2 linked regions of the Astyanax mexicanus genome follow. The protein of the gene in region 1 interacts with the protein of each later gene in a pairwise test. Links are inferred from orthologs where the notes say so. Each region holds a gene or a part of one and is shown on either strand. Other genes may lie near its edges. The genes, in order: klhl42 and stxbp4.

Region 1 (12,511 bases):
ACTTAAGTTTCAGAAAACCTTGGAATACATGTTAGGAAATTATGGAAAAGGCAATAAAATTATTCTTAAATGACCTTTACTCCTCACTTTTCTGTAAGTAAGTGGCTAAATGTACCTGTTTGAGGTCTGTGTGCTCTGGAATTTCCATCAGTTCCATCTGCTGCTCCTGAGCCTGCACCACGAAGGCTTCCTTAATGTCCTCCGTACTGCACTTCTCCATCGGCACAGGCACCACCTACCATCCAGAGGGTGACATGGGTGGGAATTACAGTTGGTACACTTGGTAAACTTTCAGACTATAGTCGACTATTGTGTTTCTAAAGTAAACACATGCTAAGATTAAAAGACAGGCACTTTGGAAAACATGGGGCTTAGCTACAGAATAATAGGCTTTGTAAATCCTGTTCAGGCTAATCATTATTTCTACTCATAATACTATGTTAAATCTGATGATGATGATGATGATGGTCATCATTGGGAGCTTGGAGTCCCTCAGACTGGATTGCTCATCAGGACAGACTGCTTGTCTGCTCAGACTTAAACTGATGATTGAATGTATGTGAGCCTTCACATGGGGAAGAATAGAGCCTTTTAAAATCTCCCTCATACTGCAGATAAGTTCTGCCAGGCCCAAAATCATAATTTATGTGGTGCTGCTGGACTGACCCTGGGTCTCAAGAGGCCGCCCGTTTGGGCAGCAACCACAAATGCAGGCTACTCCTAGGGTTGCAACGGTATGAGATGTGATTTTCACTGTATGATTACTGTCTCAGAAAACATCACAATATCACAATCCGCAAGCATTTCATTGTTAACCTAAACCAATAACTGAACAGTAGGGCTGCAACAATTAGTCGTTATATTCAACACTGTTGATTATTACATTGGTCGACTACAAATTTCATTGTCGACTAAACGTTAACTTGTAACAGTCCTGCATTGCGCAAAGCGCTGGGGACGGAAGCACAATGGGAGATAGGTAAATGCCTCACTCACACAGTTTACACTGAACTCAGTTTGTGTCTCCAAAAGTGCCCAAACACAACAGATTACATATTTAATCACTAAACATCAGTACTTTCCACATTTAAACAACATTTAGACATTTAAATGCCTTTTAAATCTGGAAGACACGGCAGAAAAAAAATCAATCACTGACTAATCGAACAAATAATCATCAGATAGTGATCTACTAAAATAATCATTAGTTGCAGCCCAACTAAAAAATTAGCTGAGCTGGATCTTAGCTGATAGCTGTTTACAGGCCAATGGCTTTTTAGACAGGGTAACACTTTCTGATCACAAAGATATGTTTATCTTGACTGTAGGTTATTTGGAACATATGCTATTTAACATATAGTAGCAAGTTATCCGCAATGCTAACAGCTAGTCTCAACTGGTTAAAGGCACAATGATTTCAGCTTCAGCAGGCTGGGAGTATGTTACATGCTAACTGTTTTCTGCACTGGATTACTTGCTTACTGTTGTTATCAATGATGAGGAAACCCATATTCATTTTGGGGATGACCAAATTATGACCACTTGCTGCTAATTTTGTTTTTCTTGTTTTGTTCATAGGGATGAAGATCAAATCAGTTTCATTTCTCTTCTTTTTTCTACCAGTTGCTGAGATTAAGTGATGGCTAAGGTGGAAAGGTGTTATGCATGAACATTTTCTGTTCTCAAAAACACTGGTCAATCAAACATCCATGATATAATAACCGTGCATTTTTATACCATGGTATACTGTGAAACCATTTACCGCTGCAACCCTAGCTACATTCACCCAGTATTCCTCAATAGAGCCAAACACAGAGACAATATAGGACTATATAGGACCCCAGTACAAGGAGGGAAGCACCTGTAACTGAAGATGTTGGCTGCGGTAGTTCCTCTCGAACAGAACGCAGCGCTGACCACGGCTCTTATGGAATTTCCTGACAGCACTCTTGTATTTCTCCAGTTCATCTACAGCATCTGATGGCATATCCACCACAGACTGGTAGTGTCCGATGGGCAACAGCAGCACATGGTCAGGGGTGAGGAAGCCCTTAGCCATTGCCATGTAACACTGTGGAATCAAGACACTCTTGTTTAATCATCCTGTTATTAAAACTGGAGCTGGAGTCAATGTCTGTGAGGATTACTGGGGGATAACTTACATGTGTCCCAATACTGATGACCAAGTGCTTCTCCACCTCAGGGCTGGCTAAACAGAACCAACAGGGTCCAGTAGGCTGAGCTGAGTGTTAGAGGAGACTATTATTATTAACCAACATGTGAAATAATGTCAGTTATGTGAAATAAAGAAAAGAAGGTAAATCAGGTTGCACCGATTTGTTTTTAACAGTCAATCCTTTACGGGACAATTATGCAAACAATAGCAAAAATCATGCAAACAATAGCAAATGTATGCCAATGACAAAAATATTCACACATATTTATTGAAATGCAAATTCAGCATAATTAATAATTAGTTTACGATAGGTGTGTTCAACTCACGGGGTTTGCGGTGCTGCCTAGGTTGACCAGATCTGTCGTCCTCTGAATGCCGCTTCCGGCCTCCACCCTGGTTGTGCTGGTGCCGGTGGTGCTGCTGCTTCTTCTGGCCCAGATCAAAGAAGAACTGAGAAGCAGGCTCCTCCTGCACAACAGAGAAGTTTACCCACAGTCTTTAATCCACACAGGCAGTGATACTTTAAAACAAGATGCAGAACAAATGTACATGAACAAAAGCAAAAAAGCAAAAAATGCCCAATGGCATTCCCTTTCAATAGGAAATCTTTATTTAAAACTCAGTGTAGTCCAATACTAGGCTTAATCCCTGTCTGGGAAACAACTCTGTAATGTTTTAAGAGTTCATTCTATTTATTTTTATTTTATTTTAGATTTTAAGTGATGGTAATTTAGTTTTATTCAAATATTTCTATTGGCTTTTTATATTAAATGCAAACATTATACATTCAACGAGACATACTCCAGAAAAGAACAGTAAATAATTATAAACAAAATTAAAATAATGACAGTAAAATGTTACCAACAAGCCTTACAGTACCACCATACTTAATATTATTATTGTTATTGTTATTATTATAACAGACAAATTAAAAATTGTTATATTTAAGGCTTACAGAGACTGTCAGTTACTCCATACCTAGGTGTATTCATCATGTCTTTGGCAGGAAATTCTTCAGGATATAATTAAAAAATGACTGCCACCTAAAAGTTAATTCAAAACTGTGCTAGCTTGAAATTTAAAAAATATCCAACAGTAACATATACAAACCTCATCGAGTACAGATGGAGGAGGCTTTTCCATCTTGCCTTCTTTTAGAGATTTCCTGTAAGGGGTCTCTGTCACATCCTGAGGCTGTTTGACTAATTCTGCAGCATCCATATTTTTCATCGGGACAATGTTAAAAGCATACAAGTACTAAGAGAAACAGCCACAAAACAAAAAAAATTTCAGTCATATCATCCCGTAACTCAATCTTCATTCACAGTATGTGGGCAAAGGGAAAATGTTCTACCTTTTTCTTAGCAGAATTGTTAACTGTCGCCAGTGCAATGAATCGACTGACATGCTGTGCATTTTCTTGAAGAACCAAATGGTTTCTGTTTAACAAAAAAGTACAAATAGAACATACAAACAAAAATGACAAGATTACATAAAGTTGTAATCTTAATAATGTTAAATATCATGATACAAGTTCTAGTTTTGACATTTAAAACAGTCATTTTGTCACACATTAAAATTTTCAGAAAAGGTTGAAAGTGTAGCTAACCTGTATGGCAGTCGTTCATAGTGAACACCTTCCAGTGCAGCAAAGTGGTAGCGAGGTTTCAGCTTTTCTGCAAGATTTGCAATGGAGGAAACTCCACAGAACTTTGTGTCAATTTCCTAAAAGAACAACAATAAGTATAAAATTTAGACAGGTCTATAAACATTGCCCACTAATAACTTTATCAACTTTTTCTACTACAAAGTACTTACAGGATTGTTGCCAAACTGCCACACTCCTCTAGGCCACTGAGAGGTCAGGAGAATGTCAACTCCTTTAAACTTCGAGTTGGACACCAGGGGAGTGACCAGAGCTATGAGATCCTTTGCAGTAAAGCAGTGAGCAGGTGCAGGCTCATGTTGAGCCTCTCTGCCACTCACATATGCAATCTGAAGACCTGAAGCTCCTGTGAAAATTCCTCTGCGCCCTAAAATTCAAAACATGATGTACAGGAGTCAACAAACAGTCTGCACGACTTTCTTTCTTTCTTTCTCTCTCTCTCTCTCTCTCTACATATACATACATATATACATATATATATATATATATATATATAAAACAAATAAGAAACAAACGTAAATAAAAATAAGACAAGCCTCTTACCCAAGTAGATGATATTTTCAGCCAATTCACAACCATCAGAGCTGGAGAAATACTTCACAGTCTCCTGACTTGCAGCCCCCAGAACGTATGTGTGGATGGGAGCTGAAGCAAAACATTTCTCCATTTTTAATAAAAGAACTGAAGGCTGATTTCAGTTATGTAAATTCAGGTTCAACAGACAATGAGTAAAATACCTTTTTTAGCTCCAGACTTGTACGCCTCCCATTCTGTTTCAGCCTCTGGAGAGGTACCAAAGAATTCACCAACGCATAATAATAACTGTTAAAGAAATACAAATTAAAATAAAAGAGAGACTGTAATAGGTGCATCAACTTCCTTATTTAACCAGACACTGTCCAAAACAGACTTACATCAAACTGCCCGCTCTTTTTTTGGATTGTGTTTACTCGGTTAAACAAAGCAGTGATTTTGCCTTCGACGTCTCCACAGGCAAGCCTAAAGAAACACAAACCAAAATTAGAGAAGAGCAAAATATATTATTTAAGAAAAAGAAAAACACCTATAAAATTACTATAATTCGAGACAACTTTATGAACATCAAACAAGGGTGTAATATATCACAAAAAAGTAACGTCTTTATTAGATTTTTTTTCTTTAATGAAAGCTAGACTTGAGTACAAACTATAGTGGATTAATCTTGTAAAAAAAAAGTATATTATAACTTAATTTCTATTATTTGCATTTTTATTATTTTCATATCTCAGCACTGGATTTTATACTGACTACATTTATCAAAAACGAAATTATAAAAAAAGAAGAAAAAACGACATATAATTACCATTTTAAACTAGGCTGACTTTTATTTTGAAATGGTATGTAACGTAAACGCTAGCTAGCTAACGCTATTCTTTAAAACCCTGTAATAAAAATCAATTAACTCGAACTAAAGCTAAGGTGCACAATTAAAAAATACTTTAAATAAAGAACATATTAAAGTGAATTGCGCTGTGAAATCAACAATAAACGTTCATAAGAACAGAAACAGCAGCGCGTGTTCTCAGCTGTGGACTGACTCGGACTAGTGTAAATACAGTAGTGAACACAGTGAACTCTCTCTCACACTCTCAGAGGCTTCTCCCCCATCCCGACACACACACAGCGCGGCGCTGGAGCTCTGATCACCTCCCTTCTCCTGATAAACTAAGTTACCAGTTTCCCTCGAGCTGCTGAAGTGAAGCTGTTTCTCTTCTGATTTTGAAACGCTTTCAGGGTCCGCTCACAAAATACAGCCCTACTCCACACCGGGGAAACATCCTGACCGGCTCGCGGCTCAGAGTTACAGCAGAGACGCGCTTCGGCTAAATACAGTAACCTATAATAATACCTAAACACAAGGCCTCGATACACATTAATAACCGTATAAATCAGCCGAGAGAGCGGAGATATTTACTGCAGAAATTAACACAGAAAACTGTTCAACCCCTAAAAGGTTCCACCCGAGAGAGTTATCCTGCTGAACCAACATTAACATTTAGTGTTTCTTCCGTATCAATCATGCGCGCTTTAAACGCACAATGTGCTTATACTTGTTAAAATGAGCAGCTTGATATTTTGTTGTACATGTTAAAGCATTTTTATTTTATACAAAATTAATCAAATTAAACGTTCTAGAAATCGTGCTAGTGTGTAAGTTGGATATCAGGTTTCAAATATCGACTAAAAAAAGAAATGCGCAAAAACGGCAGGAGAGCAGCTGGCTGTGTCCAAAACCAAGTACATGCTACCTACTACTACTTAGACAATAACATTGTAAAGTGAGAAATATAAGATTATAGAAATTGTGAATTTGTAACTAAAAACTGTATAAATGTATGAAATGTTGAATGATATTGAATGCAGACTTTTTTTTTCATAATGCATGCAGAGCACTATAAGCTGCTCCTCTAACATAACCACTGTTAAAAATGGTCTAGAACCGCCACTAGCTAATAACCAATGAAGAAAACACAAATAAGCACTCACTGCTAGTGCTGAACTCTCCATACCGAGGTAACGCCAATACACATTTCCCTTTTGAATCAGATACAGAGACCCTTTAATCACTACATTGCCTTCTAAAAACACAGTGAGGCAGCGTAGGCAGCAAAGCAACGAGTGAGCAGTGTTGTTTATGGGTTTGAGACACAGACTGAGTGTGACGTAGGAACATCCCGAGACCAAAACAGGAACTGGTTTAAATGGACTGGCTAAAAGGTATGAGGAGGTAAACACGCTGGGTTAGCTAGCTGTATAGTTTTCACTGTGTAATATTAACATTATCTCTCGACATGTGTTCACAGGAGGGGCGCTCACAGGCAGTGGAGGGGAGCAGGTCTCTGGTGCAGGGCTGCTCTCTGTCTGGAGCTGATTAAAGGAGAAGATAATAATAATGCTAACGGTAACGAGCGTTAGCTCTGTGTTCAGCGCTCTGTGTTCAGCTCTGCCCGAGCCGATATGGAGCACAACCACAGGATTTCACACTCGCCCGTCTTATTATTTCTCCCTCTTAGTCCACAACTTAGTCAGCAGCTAGCGAACACGAGTCGAGTCTGGAAGCAGAGTCAGCCCTTAAGCTCCGGGCCCAAACATTTCCATATATAGTTATATAGCTCGGCTTCAGAAGAGACGGGACTCAGCAGTAGAAGCAGGAGCACCAGGAAAAGCTGCTGGAGATGTAAACCTGATCTCGCCCACCAACAAGTGCCCTTTGCCTTCGTCACATGCCACAAACACCGTGACCATGTCCGCTGCAGAGCAGATCATCGAGATCGTGATGGACGACAGGACGTACAACGTGAGTAAGAGCAAGCTGATCGAGAAGAGCGACTACTTCCGCGCGCTGTACAGCTCCGGGATGAGGGAGTCCGGGGAGGACTCGGTGCAGCTGCAGGGCCTGAGCGGGCCCGGCCTGGAGCTGGTCCTGGAGTTCATCAACACCTCCAAAGTGCAGGTCGCCAACGAGACCCTGGAGGACCTGATCGAGACAGCCTCCTTCCTCCAGGTGACGCCCATCCTGAAGCTGCTCCTGTCCGAGATCCGTCTGGAGAACTGTGTGGAACTCTTCAAGCTCTCCGAGGTCTACGGGACCCACGACCTGCGGACAGCCTGCCTGAAGTTCATGTGCTGCCACTTTCACCCCATGCTGCGCAGACCCGAGTTCCAGCTCCTGCCCGCCTCGCTGAGGGAGCAGGTCAGGCAAATGCGCATGAGGGGCACTGCCACGCTGGTGGCCATAGGAGACTTCATGGGCACCTGCCTGGACCTCGCCGACCAGGACGAGCCGTGGTCCATGCTGAGGTACGGGGAGGTGGAGCAGCGCTGGAAGCCGCTCGCTAACAACCTGCCCCCAGACATGGTCAACGTCCGAGGCTACGGGTCCGCGGTGCTGGACAACTACCTGTTCATCGTCGGCGGCTACAGAATGACGAGTCAGGAGATCTCTGCCGCCCACTGCTACAATCCCTGCAAAAACGAATGGCAGCATATAGCACCCCTGAACCAAAAAAGGTATCTGCATCGTTCTGTCAGGCACAAAGGAGAAAGTACTGGATAAAAAGTCTATACAGTGACATGGTTTACTGTAGAGAAATCATATTTCTTTCCAGTGGTGAAATCTGTTTTAGACAGGGTCAGTGTATTCATGACCATTTCGAGTAATCAGTTTTTGTGGATAAGCTTCTGCGATTCTGTAGAACAGGGGTCTCCAATTCTATCTGCAAGGGGTAGGTTCGACTGCAGGTTTTCATTCTATTATTATTATAGTATTATATTATATATTATTATTTTTCTCCCCAATTTAGAAGGCAAATTAAACAACACATTCACTCATTAGGACTCCCCTTGTCACTAGTAATTCCCCCAACACTAGGAGAATGAGGACAAGCACTCACCTCATCAGACACATGTGTAGCCAACCACTGCAGGAAAGTGCAGATACTCTGATCACCTAACAGATGCCAGTGTGGACCATCACTGGGTAGCATAAACCAGGATTCCAATTTTTATCAATTAATCAGTTTTTAAATACTAATAAAATGTGATTCTATTTCGCTGGATTAAAAAACCTGCTGCTGCACCATCACTTTGTGTATAAGATTGGACACCCGTGCTCTTGAACAAACAAACCATTCCAAACCATCTTAATCATGCAATTTTGTTAATTATTGAAATTTCTCTGTTCAAAAAGGGCTCTTCTTCTTGACCAGTGTTATGTTTGTATTTAGGGCAAACTTTAAGCTGGTGGCTGTGAGTGGGAAGCTGTATGCAGTGGGCGGACATTGTTTAGGTACAGTGGAGTGCTACAGTCCTGAGCAGGATTGGTGGAACTGTGTTTCCTCCATGCCTGACCCTCTGGCTGAGTTCTCTGCCTGCGAATGCCAAGGAATGATCTACGTCATGGGAGGCTACACAGCCAGAGGTGCGTACACGGTCTTTCTAGAAAGAGGCTGCTCACATAAACAGGAGCTTGCTTTGCGATATCAATGAGTCACTGCAAATCAAAGTATAGTGGTTTGAGAAGAACTTTGGGAAAGAACTTTTCTGGAATGGTGCAGTCCTGTTGATGTTTTGTGCTGAGTTGCTTGGATTAGTCACTTAGTCATCAGCAATGTTAGTCATCAGCAATGTTGAATACTGCGTGTCACATATTTAAAAACAGGAAAACAAGCTTTCCCAACAAAGATTAGGGTACTAAAGCTGTAAAGGGTGGGCCAACATCATGTTAAAACGCATGCATTGACTCAAGTTAATGTGTGCACAATCATTTAGTATGTTTTCGCTGTGTGATAGTTCATACAAGATTCAGTTGATTCCAAAGAATTTGACTCTACCTCTGGATATGGTTACCATAAATGTTCTGTTTTGCACAGTAAAATGCTGTTTATGAATGCAACTCTCTGTTGTAATTATTGTTGTAATGATGGTTATTCCTTGCCCTTCTATTATGTATTATTGACTGCTGGTTCTTGTTCTCCTATATTTTATTGAGAAACATGATGCCGCTTTTGTTTCAAATCATGATAATCTGAATTCATTTATTTGTTTCATTTACCACAAGTCCTAATATGCCTGGAATGTGATGCAGGCCTAAAATGCAGGAATAGATGTATATATTAGTAATGAAATTAAATTGAACAGATGTGAAATATATTGGGCTCATACTGTCTGCAGTAAAGTAAATAGGATTCATACCTTGTGTTAATAGACAAATGATTTATAATACAATTCATATACATTTTTGCCAGTATAAATAATATTATTATTAATAGTATAAAAATATTATTATGAAATCATGTAGTTATTATATGAAACTTAAAAATACAAATATATTTCAATTCAAGTTTGAATTAAAAAAAAATATCCTTTCTTTATTCTTGCAGACAGGAACACCAACGTTCTGCGCTACTGCCCCACCTCAGACACGTGGTCAGTGTTCCGTACCTGCTCAGCACACGTACGCAAGCAGCAGATGCTCTCATTGGAGGACACTATCTACCTGGTGGGTGGCTACACACACGAGCTGGAGTGCACAGCCAGGGGTCAGCGGCGGCCCAGCCAGACGGAGGATATGCTGACAGTGCAGTCCTACAACGTGCAGACGGGGGAGTGGCTGCAGCTGAAAGAAAACACATCCAAGTCGGGCCTGAACCTCACCTGCACACTCCACAACGACGGGATCTACATAATGAGCCGTGACGTGAGCCTGCCCACCAGCCTGGAGCACCGTGTCTTCCTCAAGTACAACATATTCTCTGATGCCTGGGAGGCCTTCCGGCGCTTCCCTGTACTGGGTCAGAACATGCTGCTGTGCTCCCTCTACCTACCCAACGTCCTGTGAGCCGGAAAGCACGACACGAAAGCTGGTCTTCTAAAGCAGCGGCCAAGGTTGCTAAGATGAATGGGGCTCAAAGACTGATTGAAGGTTTCCCAAAAATTGAGGTCAATGACTGTTGTTTACACTAATAACTAAGGAACTATCCACCATACCTCAGTGAGCATCATGTTAGGAGCATGTTGCTGAGGTACACTTGCATTAAGTATAGGGCTTATGCTGTGTGTAAATATACTTAAAACACTTTCTATGGGAGCAAATGCACTGTGCAATACATTTGTTCAACTTGCACAAAAACTACTAATGGCAATGCATGTACTTACAATCTGTATTCCGAATACAGACATTACAAATGTACTACTGACGCACAAGTCGATTGGCAGCAAAAGGCTTTGGTTTTACATGGCCATAATTATGATGGAACACTAAGAGTGTGATAAGGAAGCATAAATAGTCTTAATAACTACTGCTTAAGCTTTATAAAAACCTTACCTTATTATAGGCCTTGAATTTTCAGGCCTTTTGAGAAAAAAAAGTACAAAGAGCTTGACCAAAACAGCTGTGATCTTGTTTTGAATGGATGATGTTATGAGGGCCTAAAAGTGGAAGAACCAACAAAAAAGGGGCAAATATACAGAATAGGTGGCCCTCCTGAATGCAGTTCTATATATATACTTTTGTTTTATAATTATTTCAAGGTTTCTTAATATCTTGTTTTTTTTTTTTTTTAGTTTTTTCCAGCCTAAAGGGTGACAGTGTTAAATATTGCCACAGATGCCTTGAAAAAGAATTTATTTTATGTTCAATAAAATATTCAGGGGATGCAGATATAGTGCCTTTTTATTTGACTTTTTTCAGTGAACATGTATTTAAATGAACATGAGTCTCTCTGTTAACGCCTTCTAAAATATTTTTTGGAACACAACCTTTTTAAATCAGTATTTACAGTCTGATTCATTTTCATTTGAATCTGTCATTTTTCTGACAGATTATTGTTGGTGATAGAAATGCTGAGGCCCAGCCTTCATCTGATTCAAGATTGCATTTAAATGAATTTTCATGTTGCATATGTATTTATGTGTAATTTATATTTATTTAAGACTACATGCATGTTTTTTTTTTGATAGGTTGACCTGAACTGGTCTACCTTATTGTTAATATTAGCTAAACCACTCAGCCTGCACACCCATGATTCTATTTCAATTAAAAGCTGTTTACTTAAAAAAGAACAGTTCACTAAGGATTCACAAACGTAGCTTGCACTCATATTTCCGACAGAAAACTAAAAAAAGGCTACATCACATAAAATCTTTTAAAACATCATACATCAGACACCAAACAATGAGAAGGCAAAAAAAAGTAAATTTGATCAAATCTATGAACTAACAGATATTAAGATTATTTAATATATTTTAAAGATTAGCTTGTTTTACAGCTAACTGGCCTGCAATTAGCCATCTTCTGGTCTTTGTTCATTCCCTCTGGTGTGCCATCACAACTGAGGTTACTATCTACCTGCTTGGCCTCACACAGAAAGTCCATGTCTACAGAAAAGACCAGCTGTCCATAAGCAGTGTAATCAGAGATAGAGCAGCACCATATAACGTCCACTTCATCATCTGTAGAGTAGACTGGGCAGATGGACCTGATGAAATCATAGTCCCTATAGGTTACTGTGGTCCACTCCTTGTGGTTCAGGCCAGCTGTAAAGAAGCTGTCACTACTTGGGTGATCTGCAGTGACACAGCAGTCACTCTCGGATGGAGCCAGCAGAGGGGGCAGTGGTGAAGCTCTTGATGTTGATGCCTGGCAGTCTGTCTGGGGCCTGGGTTGACTGTATAAATTGGAGGATAACTGTGCTCTGGTTCGATGAGGTAGGCTGAGGTCCAAAGGGATGTTCTCCACCCATATTAGGATTGTATACAGAAGGATGGGGACATTTCTGTAGCCCATCGCTCGATGGTTCAGCTCAGGGATGCTCAAGGCCAGACTCTCTATGTTGCACTTTGACAGTTGCTTGTCTCCTGTGTTTGTCACTCGCACCAGTGCAGTGTGTGTTTCATACCACTGCTCTTTCCCTGCAACATAAGAAAAAAGCAATAGAAAACAAGTCATTATTTTGTGTTAAGACCTGTCACAGTAATTAGATTATTGATATATTGTACAATATATTGATACGATCTCTTTAAAGTCTCTGAAGGAGGCCGGGCTCAAATCTCTAAGCCGAGATCTATTGTGTAGGAAAGGTCTGGAATGTGTGCAATGACCAATACATCAATAATAGTGTCTTCATACA
Region 2 (12,861 bases), on another chromosome or scaffold:
ATGAAGTTGATTATGCCATGCCTTGACCTTAACCATTAACAACAAAATATTATGGTCAAAATCTAAGATGGTAACCCATATTAACCAGCTGTATAACCTTGAACTGGCTATGCTGTTTTTACTTGATTATAGACTAACAGTTAATATTTATAAAAAATCAAATCTTAATTTTGTTTATTCTTAATGGCCACCTCATTGTGCAGGGTAAATACATTAAGAATTTCAAATGTGTTTTTCCAGTTCAGCTCTTTTTTATAGCCTTGCAAAGCGTTGTTTAGCAGTTTGAGTGCCATCGAGATTGCCTGATCACTCGTTATGTAAGTGCAGATATCTCTACCTCCACTACAGTTGTGTAACATCCAAATCATGCAGATTTGTGTCCCTAAAGTCAAACACGATAAAAATCAGATCACATTATAACCCAAACAAGCCTCTGAGCTCTAATACACAATAATATGTTTAAGAGACCGACATGGACATTGTTTTTGCTCGCAATTGTTTCTGAGCTGCCTAGAGAATTTCATATTATTGCAACAATCCCACCCCCTACTGTCTTAAAACAGGTACTGTTTCACTTACATGCACTCTAGTACCCCGAAATAATCATTTCTTGCAGTGTACAGCACAGCTTTTAAAGCTGATGTTTAATCCAAATGTTGATTAAAGTAGAATTTTACATGAACATGTTATTACTTGAGCACGTTATTACACAGACAGCATGTAGACATTAATAAAAAGGCTTTAACAAATTATATCCTTTCTATCAATGACACTCTATTAGATTTCTTGAAGTTTTAATAAAAATTTAAAGTCTCTGAATAAAGCATCATGTACTGCTTATTTAGCTGTATCCAGGAAGCGGTAATTTCTGTCCATCTTTGGCTTCGAAAAAAGTATAGGAAAGTGTGATTGAGTCCACCCAGGCCATTCTAGGGTCCTCATCAAACTCTGGGTCGATGTAAAAGAACACAGGCATGTCCACCTCTTCGTAAGGGTTTAACCTCTGTTCCTCAAAGCAGAAGCACTGTGGAGGAAGATGAAAAACCCAGTTAATTTCAGTGGACAGAAAAAATGACATCTGACCAAATCCGGACTGAGCCTAGGTTAGAACGAGAGTTCAAGTACACTATCCATTCTGATACATTATCCATTACCTGAATTTTGTTGAAGTACTGCCCAGCATCAAACGGCACAATACTGTAGGTAGATATTCCTATAACCGGTTTGTCTGTGGGATTTCGTGCTTTGTAAAATGCTAAAGCAGTTTCTCCTGGCACAACCTGAAAAACACAATGCACATCATTGACTTAGTTAGTCAAAGTTACAGTACAGAGTGCATTAAAATTAAGTATTATAATTGTTAAGTAGAGGGACTATATAATACAATTTGAAAGTCAACGTTATATTCATACCGTTCCAGTCAGAAGCAATATTTGTATTGTTGTTTTGTTTGTGTTCTTCCATTGGTATTTTACACATTATGTATAGTAGAATAGAAATGGCCCAAACGTACTATTTTTACCAACATGCCTAATGTATATATTTTTTTTGTAGTTACCTTTCTGGAAAAACAAAATTTTGTTCTGACAGAAACAATATGCTAAAATGAATGAAGTATTAATTTAAGGTTTTTATTATCTCACATAGATCTCTGACTGCTGAGGGCGAAAGTTCCACTGGAGGCTGGCATGTGTGTCAGCATTGAAGGTGACTTTTATAACGCGGTCCTTAACCGGCTTCATGGTCTCCACTAATTCTCCATCATGTCCTGCGATTGCTGTGCCACCCAGTCCAGTTGCCTGAGGTAAAGAATCATCATCATCATCATTCATGTGCAGAGTTTTAAGACACAGTGAGACTACGTTTGGGTTATTTATCCTTGGCTAAGGCGAGAAATAGTCAGAACCATAAATGAGACACCCAGTACTAACCTGGCAGTATAGTCTGTAGAGTGGCACTGAAGCATATGTCAAGCCAATCATTCCAACCCCGGCTGCTGCGATATATGTGAGGGCAGTCTTATTCCTCTGTTTCCAATCATCTTCTTGGTTTTGTGTTTTTTTTCTGTTGGTTTTAGCTCCTCTTGTCTGGTTAACAAAACGCTGAGATGTTCTCCTGCCAAAGAGCTGGCTGCTGGAGGTGGCTAGTCCTCGAACATTCAGGTTTTTAGCTAGCTGTACACAGTGTTTTGCACAGCATTTACGGATGGCAAAAGAAAGAAGCATAACTCCCAATCTCTAGAGGAAATATTCTTTAAGACAGTTCCTTTACCAACCTGTACAAACAAACAAAACAAATAGCATTTTAACATTAACATTTTTACAGTGGTATTTTTTATTAAAAGGAAACAGACTATAAATACACTGAAGACCAAGTTTCTAATCGGGATTTAAGACTTGTCCTGGACTACACATTGTTTTGAATAAATGTTGCTTATAACCATAATAAACCCATAATCAATCATTAAATGTCCAAAAATCTGCACATACATGCAAATAAATACATATGTGCTAAACGTGGATAAAAAGAAAACAAAGCCAAACAAATAAGACAACATTCACATTCAAGTATACTACAAATAGACTTTAGGTATATATGCAGAAATATAGAACATATAGAATTATGAAGAGCTCACTGCCTTTCCTGCACCACTGTAGTTATAAATATCAAACTGCATTCAGTCACAGGAACAGTGTGGTCAGGAGGCAATATTAAATGATTAGTTCTGCATCATGCATGCCACTCTAACTCATCCCAGAGGTACTGGATAGATCTGCATCACTCCTGAGAATGCAGTTCCACTGCTTCATAGCCCAGTGTTATGTGGCTTTATACCCCTCTAGTCAGCACTTGACATTGGTCATGGTGCACTTACATTCAAGTGCACTCCCACTGAACCACCACAAGGGGATTATGCAAGCTGTAAAGTAGCTGAGAACTTCTAATTAGAAGGGGTGTATCAACACCTTTAGACTTTTTATGTCCTACCTGGTAAACAAACCAACTAGAGAAAGACTCACATGAAACAGTCTGTAAATGCCTATGTAGTACTGTCATCAAGTTCAGCATAGTGTAATCAACTACTGTACCTTGCTTACAGCAAAGAGTTACATTTATAAAGCATTTTTTAAAGAATACACAAAAATCCTGATTTTATTGCTAAAGTAGAATATATTCTACAAAAAGTGTTTATAGTTAAGTTGCCCAAAAATACTACATTTCCAAAAAAGTAGGGATGTGCCTATCGGGGAATTCTGGGCCGATGTTGATATGTAACATTTTACATGTATATATCTGCCGATGCTGATACACATATTTAGAACTTACAGAAAATCTAGACACCCCGGTATACCCTTTGAAACAAGCTTTCCACTAACTGTATACAAACAATAAAATAAATGGTTTCTTTTATTGTTGTTTTATTTGATTAATTTATTTAGCTTACTGCTTTGCTTAGACTGGCCAGAGCTTTAAGTTCCTGTTCTTAAGTTTAACAAATTAATTATATATTTTAAAACTATTAAAACTTTATCAATATGAACTTGTTTTCACTTTCTGCAAATAAATGCTCTAAATGACTATATTTGTATTTGGAATTTGGGAGAAATGTTGTCTGTAGTTAATAGAATAAAACAACAATGTTCATTTTACTCAAACATATACCTATAAATGGAAAAATCTGATTCAGAAACTAAAGTGGTCTCAATTTTTTCAGAGCTGTATATATAGAAAAATATAGCTTTATAGAAAAACATCTGCACCTTACTGTTACTGTAACTGGCTGACTGTCTAGGTACTGTTCTTCTACTGTCAATACTGTTTAACACCTTATAATGCAGTTAGATACACTTATTGGGAATAAAATACATCAAAAAGTAATATATATATATATAATATCTGACTGGTATAACGACACTAACGACGCAGCCAGTAAATAAACCATATTACTTCGTTTAGGTTAACCTGCAATATAACCTAGTACTGTATCCACCTGTTTTAGCTAGGGTTAGACCAGAGCCGGTTAGCTAGCGGTAGGTCAGTTATCTAACGCTGCCGACTTCAGCGTATTCCTCCTCGCCTTCAGAGTTTTACACAGAGCTGAATAATGTCACCGAGACCTGATTAACCTGCAGAAATAAAGCGACAGTACCAGAACAGCCCATAATCTCTCTTACCGAGACAAATGACCGCTCGGGTTTTCCACACAGCCCTGCTAAAGCTACAGACACACTGTTCCTACAGCCGCACTGCTCCCCGGAACACACAGCAGCGCTACTGTAGTTCCTACACACCGCTCAGCCCGCTGCTGCCGCAGACCAGCAGCCGCGGAAATATTACAAAAAACTAAATATTTGTACAAATGTGGATGTATGTATACTTTATTTATATTTAGGTTTATACATACATATATCTTTTTATATTTAATTCTGTGTTTCATTATGACAATTCAAAAATAATGAAAAAACAAAATCCACAATTTCATAATAAATCACAGAATAAAATTTAAAAATATGTAATTTTATTTAGTTTTTAATTTCTGCCTTCTGCCTGATCATAAAACAAATTTAAATTAGAATATCAATATTTTTTATTTTTTTCATTTGAATTTTTGCAGTTTCATCATAACAATTAAATATGAAAATATTTTTTTGGTTTTGCATTTTGATTTCTGCAGTTTCATCATAAAACACAGAATTAAGTATAAAAATATGTATTTAGATTTCTTTTCATTTTTATTTCTTCAGTTTCATCATAAAGCACAGAATAAATATAAAAAAATATATTCTCTATTTTTGCATTTGAATTTCTTTAAACTTCAAAATTGAATTATTAAAATATGTAAAAATACAGAAAAAAATAAAAATACAGAAAAAAACAATTAAATATGAAAACATCAAAAGGAATATATGCATTTATATAAATTAACAAAATTCATTACCCTTTAACAAGAAAAAAATATATATTTGTGTGCATGAATTACCAAGAATTGTCACTGCAAACGAGCATCCAATCATGTTTACTGTGCTAAGTAAAACAATTACACAGTGTCTATAGCTGCCTATCTGTTTAGATAGCTGTAGCAATAAGGCTAAGCCAAACAAATTAAGTATTATTTTCTAATTTAATAAAGTAAATAATAAATGGCTTTAAATATATGGCTTTAAGTCAAGTCAAGTCAAGAGGCTTTTATTGTCATTACATCTGAGTACAGGTACACAGTGTGATGAAATTACGTTCCTCCGGAACCATGGTGCAACATAGAACCACAAGCAATAGACAACATAAAGTGCAGGAGTGACGACAGTGCAACATAAAATTATAAAATTATAACACTAAATAACAATAAATACAATAAATACAAAAGACGAGACAATTTAAAGACAGGACAGTGCAGTACCGATACGGTATAATAAAGTGTATAGTGGGGATAAGGTGCAGAGATGTGTGACATACTGTAACATATAGAACATATATAATCACAGCAGTTACTGAGGTAGAGTTTATAGTTTTTAAGAGTGCAGCAAATAAAGTCATGTCAGCCTCTGTGTGCTGACTGGGTGTGTGTGTGGGTGAAGTTCAGTTCTTTGTGAGTGTAAAGGGGGGGGGGGTGTACAGTTTAGTTTTGTGTAAAGGGGGGGGGGGTGTACAGTTTAGTTTTGTGCGAGTGTGTTGGGTGAGTGGTGGGTGGGGTGGGGGTTCAGTTCTGTCTCTGTGCGTTGAGAAGTCTGACTGCCTGGTGGATGAAGCTGTTGCAGAGTCTAGTAGTGGAGGCTCGGATGCTCCTGTATCTTCTGCCGGACGGCATCAGAGCGAAGAGTCCGTGTGAGGGATGGGTGGGGTCGTCCACAATGCTGGTGGCTTTGCGGATGCAGCGTGTGGTGTAGATCTCAGTGATGGAGGGAAGAGAGACTCCGATGATTTTCTCAGCTGTCCGCACTATCCGCTGTAGGGTCTTGCGGTCTGAGGTGTTGCAATTCCCAAACCAGACGGTAATGCAGGTGCTCAGGATGCTTTCTACAGTGCCTCTGTAGAACATGGTGAGGATGGGGGGTGGGAGATGTGCTTTCCTCAGTCTCCGCAGGAAGTAGAGGCGCTGCTGGGCTTTCTTGGTTATGGAGCTGGTGTTGAGGGACCAGGTGAGGTTCTCTGCAATGTGAACACCGAGGAACTTGGTGTTATCCACAATTTCCACAGCAGAGCCGTTGATGTTCAGCGGGTGGTGGACACCTGGAGCTCTCCTGAAGTCAACAACCATCTCCTTGGTTTTATCCACGTTAAGAGATAGGTTGTTGGTTCTGCACCAGTCCGTCAGCCACTGCACCTCCTCTCTGTATGCTGACTCGTCGTTCTTGCTGATGAGGCCAACTACAGTTGTGTCATCAGCGAACTTGATGATGTGGTTTGAGCTGTACTTTGCAGTACAGTCATGAGTCAGCAGAGTGAACAGCAGTGGGCTGAGCACACAGCCCTGGGGGGCGCCGGTGCTCAGTATGGTGGTGCTGGAGGTGTTGTTTCCAATCCTGACTGATTGTGGTCTCTCAGTCAGGAAGTCTAAAACCCAGTTGCAGAGGGAGGAGTTCAGGCCCAGCAAGCTCAGTTTTCCTATCAGATGCTGAGGGATGATGGTGTTGAATGCTGAACTGAAGTCGATGAACAGCATTCGAACATAGCAGTCTTTGTTGTCCAGGTGGGTGAGAGCCAGGTGGAGCGCAGTAGAGATGGCATCGTCTGTTGATCTGTTTGGACGATACGCAAACTGCAGAGGGTCCAGTGAGGACGGGAGCTGGTTTTTGATGTGCCTCATGACCAGCTTCTCAAAGCACTTCATGATGATGGGAGTAAGTGCAATGGGACGGTAGTCATTAAGGCAGGACACTTGAGACTTCTTCGGCACAGGGACGATGGTGGTCGTCTTGAAGCACGTCGGCACGATTGCAGTACTCAGAGAGATGTTGAAAATGTCCGTGAGAACATCCGTGAGTTGTTCTGCACATCCTCTGAGCACTCTGCCAGGTATGCTGTCTGGTCCTGGCGCTTTCCGTGGGTTGACTCTGAGTAGAGTTTTCCGCACATCAGCTGAGGACAGGCACAGTACCTGGTCGTTTGGAGGAGGTGTAGTCTTCCTTGCTGTCGTGTAGTTCTATGCTTCGAACCTTGCGTAGAAGGAGTTCAGTGCATCTGGAAGGGAGGCATCACTGTTACAAGCAGGGGAGGGTGACTTGTAGTTGGTGATGGTCTGGATGCCCTGCCACATGCGCCGAGTGTCAGTAGTGTCCTGGAAGTGGGCGTGGATTTTCTTTGCGTAGGTGCGCTTTGCCTCTCTGATCCCCCGGGAGAGCTTGGCTCTAGCTGTTCGGAGGCCAGCCCTGTCCCCTGACTTAAAGGCCTTGTCTCGGGATCTCAGCAGCGCACGCACCTCTGCAGTCATCCACGGCTTCTGGTTGGGGCGGGATGTGATGGTTTTGGAGACAGTAACATCCTCAATGCACTTGCTGATGTAACCAGTCACTGAGTCTGTGTACTCCTCCAGGTTGATGGAGTCATCAGAAGTAAAGGTAAAACATAGTACGCAATTCAGTACAGCAAGGATTAACTACACAAGCTTATAAATTGTTTATGCTAAGTGAACATTAGTGAACAGTATCTACCATGCAGTAACAATGCATTTAATATATTTTCACAAGCTAAAGTAAATATAATCATCAGTACTTAATCTAATTCAGTATGTATGTTGTTCTGTGTTTTATATTTGTGCATTCATTTTCTATTGTATTTATTCTGTGTTGTTTTAAGTGCATTATTATTTATTTGCATTTATTCTGCTTGGATTCTCTCTCTCTTTCTCTCTCTCACTCTCTGTCAACCCCCCAATTTTTATCTTTCTCTCTCTCTCTCTCTCTCTCTCTCTCTCTCTCTGTGTCTCTCTCTCTCTCTCTCTCTCTCTCTCTCTCTCTCTCTCTCACACACACACACACACACACACACACACACACATGTCAGGGTAGTATGATTTGACACTTTCTTGCTTATTGTGTTCCTGGCACAGTGCCACCATGTGGACGGTACCTGCAATGCATTATCACTTGTATTTTGGGTTATTACACACTGTACAGTACATTTTGTATTTGAAGCCTGTTGTCAGATTTCAGGATATTTTAATGGTAAGTCATTTGTTTATTTATCGTCTGTATTTGTTAGATGTAAATTATAAAATGTCCCACTCAGTCTATTTTATTTACTGTACCCAGTGCCTAGGAATTATTTATGTATTGTAATTTACTCATTTACATACCTCTCTGAAGACATGCCCTGCTGGTGTCTAAGTGTTTAATGTCTGGTCCTTTGTTTTGCTAGTAGAGGAAGACACATCATCAGCGGTGGCACTGGAGGGAGAGGTGAAGCGCACCATGTGACTGGTGGGTATCAGGGGAGATTAGTGGATAGGTAGGCGCATGTCTGTATCTGTCTGGGTAGATTGCTGTCTCTCGGTCATCTTAGACCGTCCTGATTTGAACCGTCATCTCCCCCGACCCAGTGATGAGGTTGCCTTTATAATATTTCATCAGCTGTTTTTGGACCTGCGATGCCACTGCTGCCACAGTCAGCGGAGGCAGAGCGCTTTGACGGACTATCCCTGCTTTACTGGTAGGCTGTCTTTCTTTTTTTTTTTTGATGTATGAAACCTGCAGATTTAACAAAGCTGTGAATGTTTGGAAATCTGCATTTTGTATGTGATGTGTTTTATCTGTGTTCAGTCATTTGTAAATGAAATATCTGTAATTGTCTGTAAATACAAGAGAGTGAATGTGACAGGGAGTTTGAGGTGAGCTGTGTTTATGCGGATGAAGGGATTTGCAGCATGGTTGTGCAGTTTAAGCATGGATTTATGGATCCACTTTCGTTGGATATGAGGATCTTTTAAATTTCCTACGCTCATGCAAAGCAGCAGAGATTCACACAGGCACAGTCTTCAACTGTCTGACTTTATATGATCGAGGATACACATTTAGAAGAGCATGAGATAGAAGGGGGGGCTTCTTGGGAACAAAACAGGTTATCTGTGTGAAGCACTAAAACACAAGTAACAGGTCTTAATGAAGTTCATATACAGGCTTTAATTGGTTAGAGCACTCAGCATGGCTCCGGTACACTTCTCAGCGTGTATCCTTATGTGGCTTGTGGAAAGATTAGACTGAATTAAGTGATCAGTTTAAATGCCTCAGCTGTTCTTTAGCCAGTGTTGCTTTAAAGCCAGTGATCAACAACCTGAGAAGATGCTTCTTTTTACAGTTTAATCTGTGACTTGTAATGGAGATTTCTTAGTAGATGGCTGATGATGGAAGGGGCTGACCACTTCCGTTCCATTCCAACTGTTGCTCTTTTCATCTTTCCTCATTCCTTAGCCATGTAGCTCCACACACAAAGATTATAGTGGAGGGTTTACAGCTTGTTTGGGGAGGGGGATGGTACCCTACTAAGTAGGATCATCTGATCCGAGTCACACTTTTTACCTACGAGCAGGATTCGTACTTTTGCTTGTCTAAGCTGGCCTTTACCTTCATTTCCACCTGACCGCTACATGAACTCACGTGACTGGTGTTCATCAGTTTGTACACTCCATTCAAGTACAAACTGAGTCTGTGACAGTGCTCTGCAGTTCATGCGTGTTTATAAATACAATCGATGAAACATTTGCATGTTTGAAATTTGCTTTATGTTTAAATACATGTTTTGTTTTTTTCGCATGCCTTTCAAAGCTCTTTCAGTACCACAGTCAACGGCCTAGATAAGCATGGAGCTTTTGAATCGTGTTTCTTTCTGTCTGTTATGGGGATTATATTCAACAGAGATCAGGCTGTAGTTTACCAGATTGAAGGCACGCTTTTCCAATAGCAGCAGTGTTTACCTTTGCATAGCAGCGTGTATGAAATAAACCTAAGTGCAGTAACCTACTTACTTTGGTTAATCACTTTCAATAGTGTATTTATTTTTAGAGTCATTCTGGATTACTATTACTATATTTCTCTGTTCATTCATCTGCATTCAGAAGACAAGACCATCCTTTAGAATTTAGCCCTTCCCATTAACCAGATATCAATCATTGTTTCTTTATGGGAGAAATCAATTTTTATTTTTTTAGCACACAAAAATAAATGTTTTATATTTCTTCTTCGTTCATAAAGGAACTTATATAAAATAACTTACAATAGTAAAGAAAATAAGTGACTTCTCCCAAAAAAGGGAGAAATGGTTGACATATGGTTGTTTGTTGAAAGGGCTCAAATGTAAAAAGGTAAGCTATTTTTCTGTTGTAATCACATTCAGACAACTGATTTTGTCTGTTTTTCAGGACCATCATGGGACCCCACGGCATCAACCGTGCTGTACAGAGACTGGAGTTTTCAGACTGCAGAAAAGGACTTGGTAAAGTTCAGTGCATGGATATATTCATATATATATATATATATATATATATATATATATATATATATATATATATATATATATATATATGAAGAGAGAGAGAGAGAGAGAGAGAAAGAAGCTTATGAGAGAGAGAGCGAGAGAGAGAGAGAGAGAGAGAGAAGCTTATGTATAAAAAACAAATTGAACAGGGAATTAAAACTAGATTCTAAAATGATGAACGATATGTGATAAGTGAATCAAGGATTCGTGAGCAATGAAGGTATTTTTGTTTTTGACAATTGCACACAGATTTTATCGTCTCCAAAGAAAAGCATTACCAACAGAAGTCCTAATAGGCCTGTCTGTTCACTCAGCAGTCGTCTTTGCAATGCTGGCAGGCAATTATCTCTAGTCATGTAAGACCAAAATATTCGAAACTGCTGATTAAAAGCATATTTTAAATCATTGCTATGATCTGACCAAAACCTCATCAATAGAATGTAGTGTTTGGCTCAAAAATGTAGAAAAAACATAATATTTTTTGCCTGTTTTGGCTACTGCACTTGCACTGATCTCCAAATTGGGGGGAGCTTTGTCCTCTAGCACCTTGACCCACCCCTGATCTGGGCAGAACCAACAAGCTACTTGCCTCTTTTTGTTGAAGGGCTTTATTTGCACAATTTATCTGTAAACAGGCACCATAAAGAGTGTTACAAGAACTCCTACTCATATTTCAAACAGTGGCTGATTAGTAATGTCTCTGATTTTCTGTACAACCTGTTAAATTAAAACTATTAGTGTAAAATTAGTGCAAAATATTTGTCAAATTTACTGTGTAGTGATGGAGCACCACAAATCCATGTGGTACTAGTGAGTTACTATCCTGCAGGTATACCCTGCATCTGAAATGTAAGAAATTCTGCCCACTCAGCCAAGATTCTGACAACACAGGAAGGCAACACAGCTAAACATAGTCTATACTTTAGCAATATCAGGACACATTTTTTGTCATTTTGATTGAGATACTTTCATCACTACAATACACTAAAGACTTTCATCACTACACTTCCTTCAAAAGGAGATAGGTAAGGCATCAAGTCTGCAATTCTTGCATTTTAGACACAGCCCTGATCTTGGTAATGAATACCTTGAGAGGTTTTAAAGATCTAGAAGTTCACCAGAACCAGGAATGGGCACACATATTGTGATTTAATGCAATCTAATCCTTATAAGTAGTGTTTTAACATCTAGTGTAGCATTTCCAAAAAAGTACAGGGTGTTACTCCAGCAAATTGGGTACCACTTTAAAATAAGACTACCTTTATAAAGGGTTTATAAATGATTTACAATTAGTTTATTAATGGTTACTAATTAGGTTGTAAATGCCTTAAAAATCAATCAGTTATAACACATACGTAAAAAGGGCAACAGTATAGATGGCTGTGGGTTCACTATTTGGCAAACAACAGGTAATTGTTGCCCTTTCTACATATGTGTTATAACTAATTGTAAACCATTTACAAACCCTTTATAAAGGTAGTCTTATTTTAAGGTGGTACAGCAAATTGAAGCAAACTTCTATTTTAGTTTGGATTTGGGGGACGTGTATTTTGTATATATCTTATCACTTCCTTATAGAAAATATCAGTTATTCTTACTTTTTTTGACAGCTTTACATGTACAACCCCAAAATCAGAAAAGGTTGGGTCAGTTTGGAAAATGCAGGTATGGAGAAAAGGCAGTGTTTCACATTGCTTTAATTATATTTGATTGTAAGATTGATTGATATTTCATGTTTGCAACTTTATTTAATTTATTAATATAAATCCATTTCTGCATTTATGACCTGATACACATCCAACAAATAAAATGAAGTTTACTTGAAGAAATAAAAAAGAAAAAACTTTTTATATTTTGGTTTGTACATTACATTTACCTTTTTTTAACTGTAAAAAATGAAAATGTGATTTTTTTTTATTTAAGGTAAAAATGGTTAATATATGACAGATATAAATTTGTTGGAAGGACTTAATTAGAAAAAGTCGATGTCATTTTGCATTAGCACTGCTAAAAGTTGCTTTGTTAAGGAATAATGGTAATAAATGGTTTAAACAACTAGCTATTGAAGTTATTTTATAAACAGTGGATTTTCATTGATGTTGCCTTCAATAATCCTTTTTCAGCACTCTTTTCTGCTGCATATTTTCTATGTATCAGTACTCAGGTGATATATTTCTTGTGCGTTCCCCATTGTTCCAGTGATTATCCTTGCTTTCTTCTGCCAGGGGTGAAGATCATTGGAGGTTACAGAGAGCTGAGTGGTGAAGAGTTTGGCATTTTCATTAAGCGAGTCTTACCTGGGGGCGTGGCTGCACAGGACGGTATGCTGGCACTTGCTCATTTCCTAACCCTGATAAGTGTCTTTCTGTTAAGATGATCACTGGAATAATGCGA

What was found.
Region 2: the proteins of klhl42 (region 1) and stxbp4 interact in a two-hybrid assay, tested with the Homo sapiens proteins (2 studies listed by BioGRID and IntAct). The two-hybrid records come from large-scale screens. The link is inferred for Astyanax mexicanus from reciprocal best matches to the Homo sapiens genes KLHL42 and STXBP4.

Annotation. Positions count from the first base shown.
Region 1 is NC_064409.1:37,367,670-37,380,180, forward strand, and holds klhl42 (kelch-like protein 42), read left to right. Parts: upstream 1-6,791; 5' UTR 6,792-7,125; coding exon 7,126-7,892; intron 7,893-8,608; coding exon 8,609-8,802; intron 8,803-9,763; coding exon 9,764-10,221; 3' UTR 10,222-11,043; downstream 11,044-12,511. Other genes in the region: cwf19l1 (CWF19-like protein 1), read right to left, coding at 116-235, 1,862-2,071, 2,163-2,242, 2,503-2,644, 3,287-3,433, 3,531-3,615, 3,786-3,901, 3,995-4,209 and 4 more; uncharacterized protein LOC111193017, read right to left, coding at 11,635-12,293. UniProt on the Homo sapiens protein: Substrate-specific adapter of a BCR (BTB-CUL3-RBX1) E3 ubiquitin-protein ligase complex required for mitotic progression and cytokinesis. The BCR(KLHL42) E3 ubiquitin ligase complex mediates the ubiquitination and subsequent degradation of KATNA1.
Region 2 is NC_064422.1:33,823,825-33,836,685, forward strand, and holds the start of stxbp4 (syntaxin-binding protein 4), read left to right. Parts: upstream 1-7,989; 5' UTR 7,990-8,417; intron 8,418-8,567; 5' UTR 8,568-8,584; coding exon 8,585-8,646; intron 8,647-10,351; coding exon 10,352-10,425; intron 10,426-12,692; coding exon 12,693-12,788; intron 12,789-12,861. Other genes in the region: cytochrome c oxidase assembly protein COX11, mitochondrial, read right to left, coding at 842-1,024, 1,155-1,280, 1,644-1,799, 1,932-2,225. UniProt on the Homo sapiens protein: Plays a role in the translocation of transport vesicles from the cytoplasm to the plasma membrane. Inhibits the translocation of SLC2A4 from intracellular vesicles to the plasma membrane by STX4A binding and preventing the interaction between STX4A and VAMP2.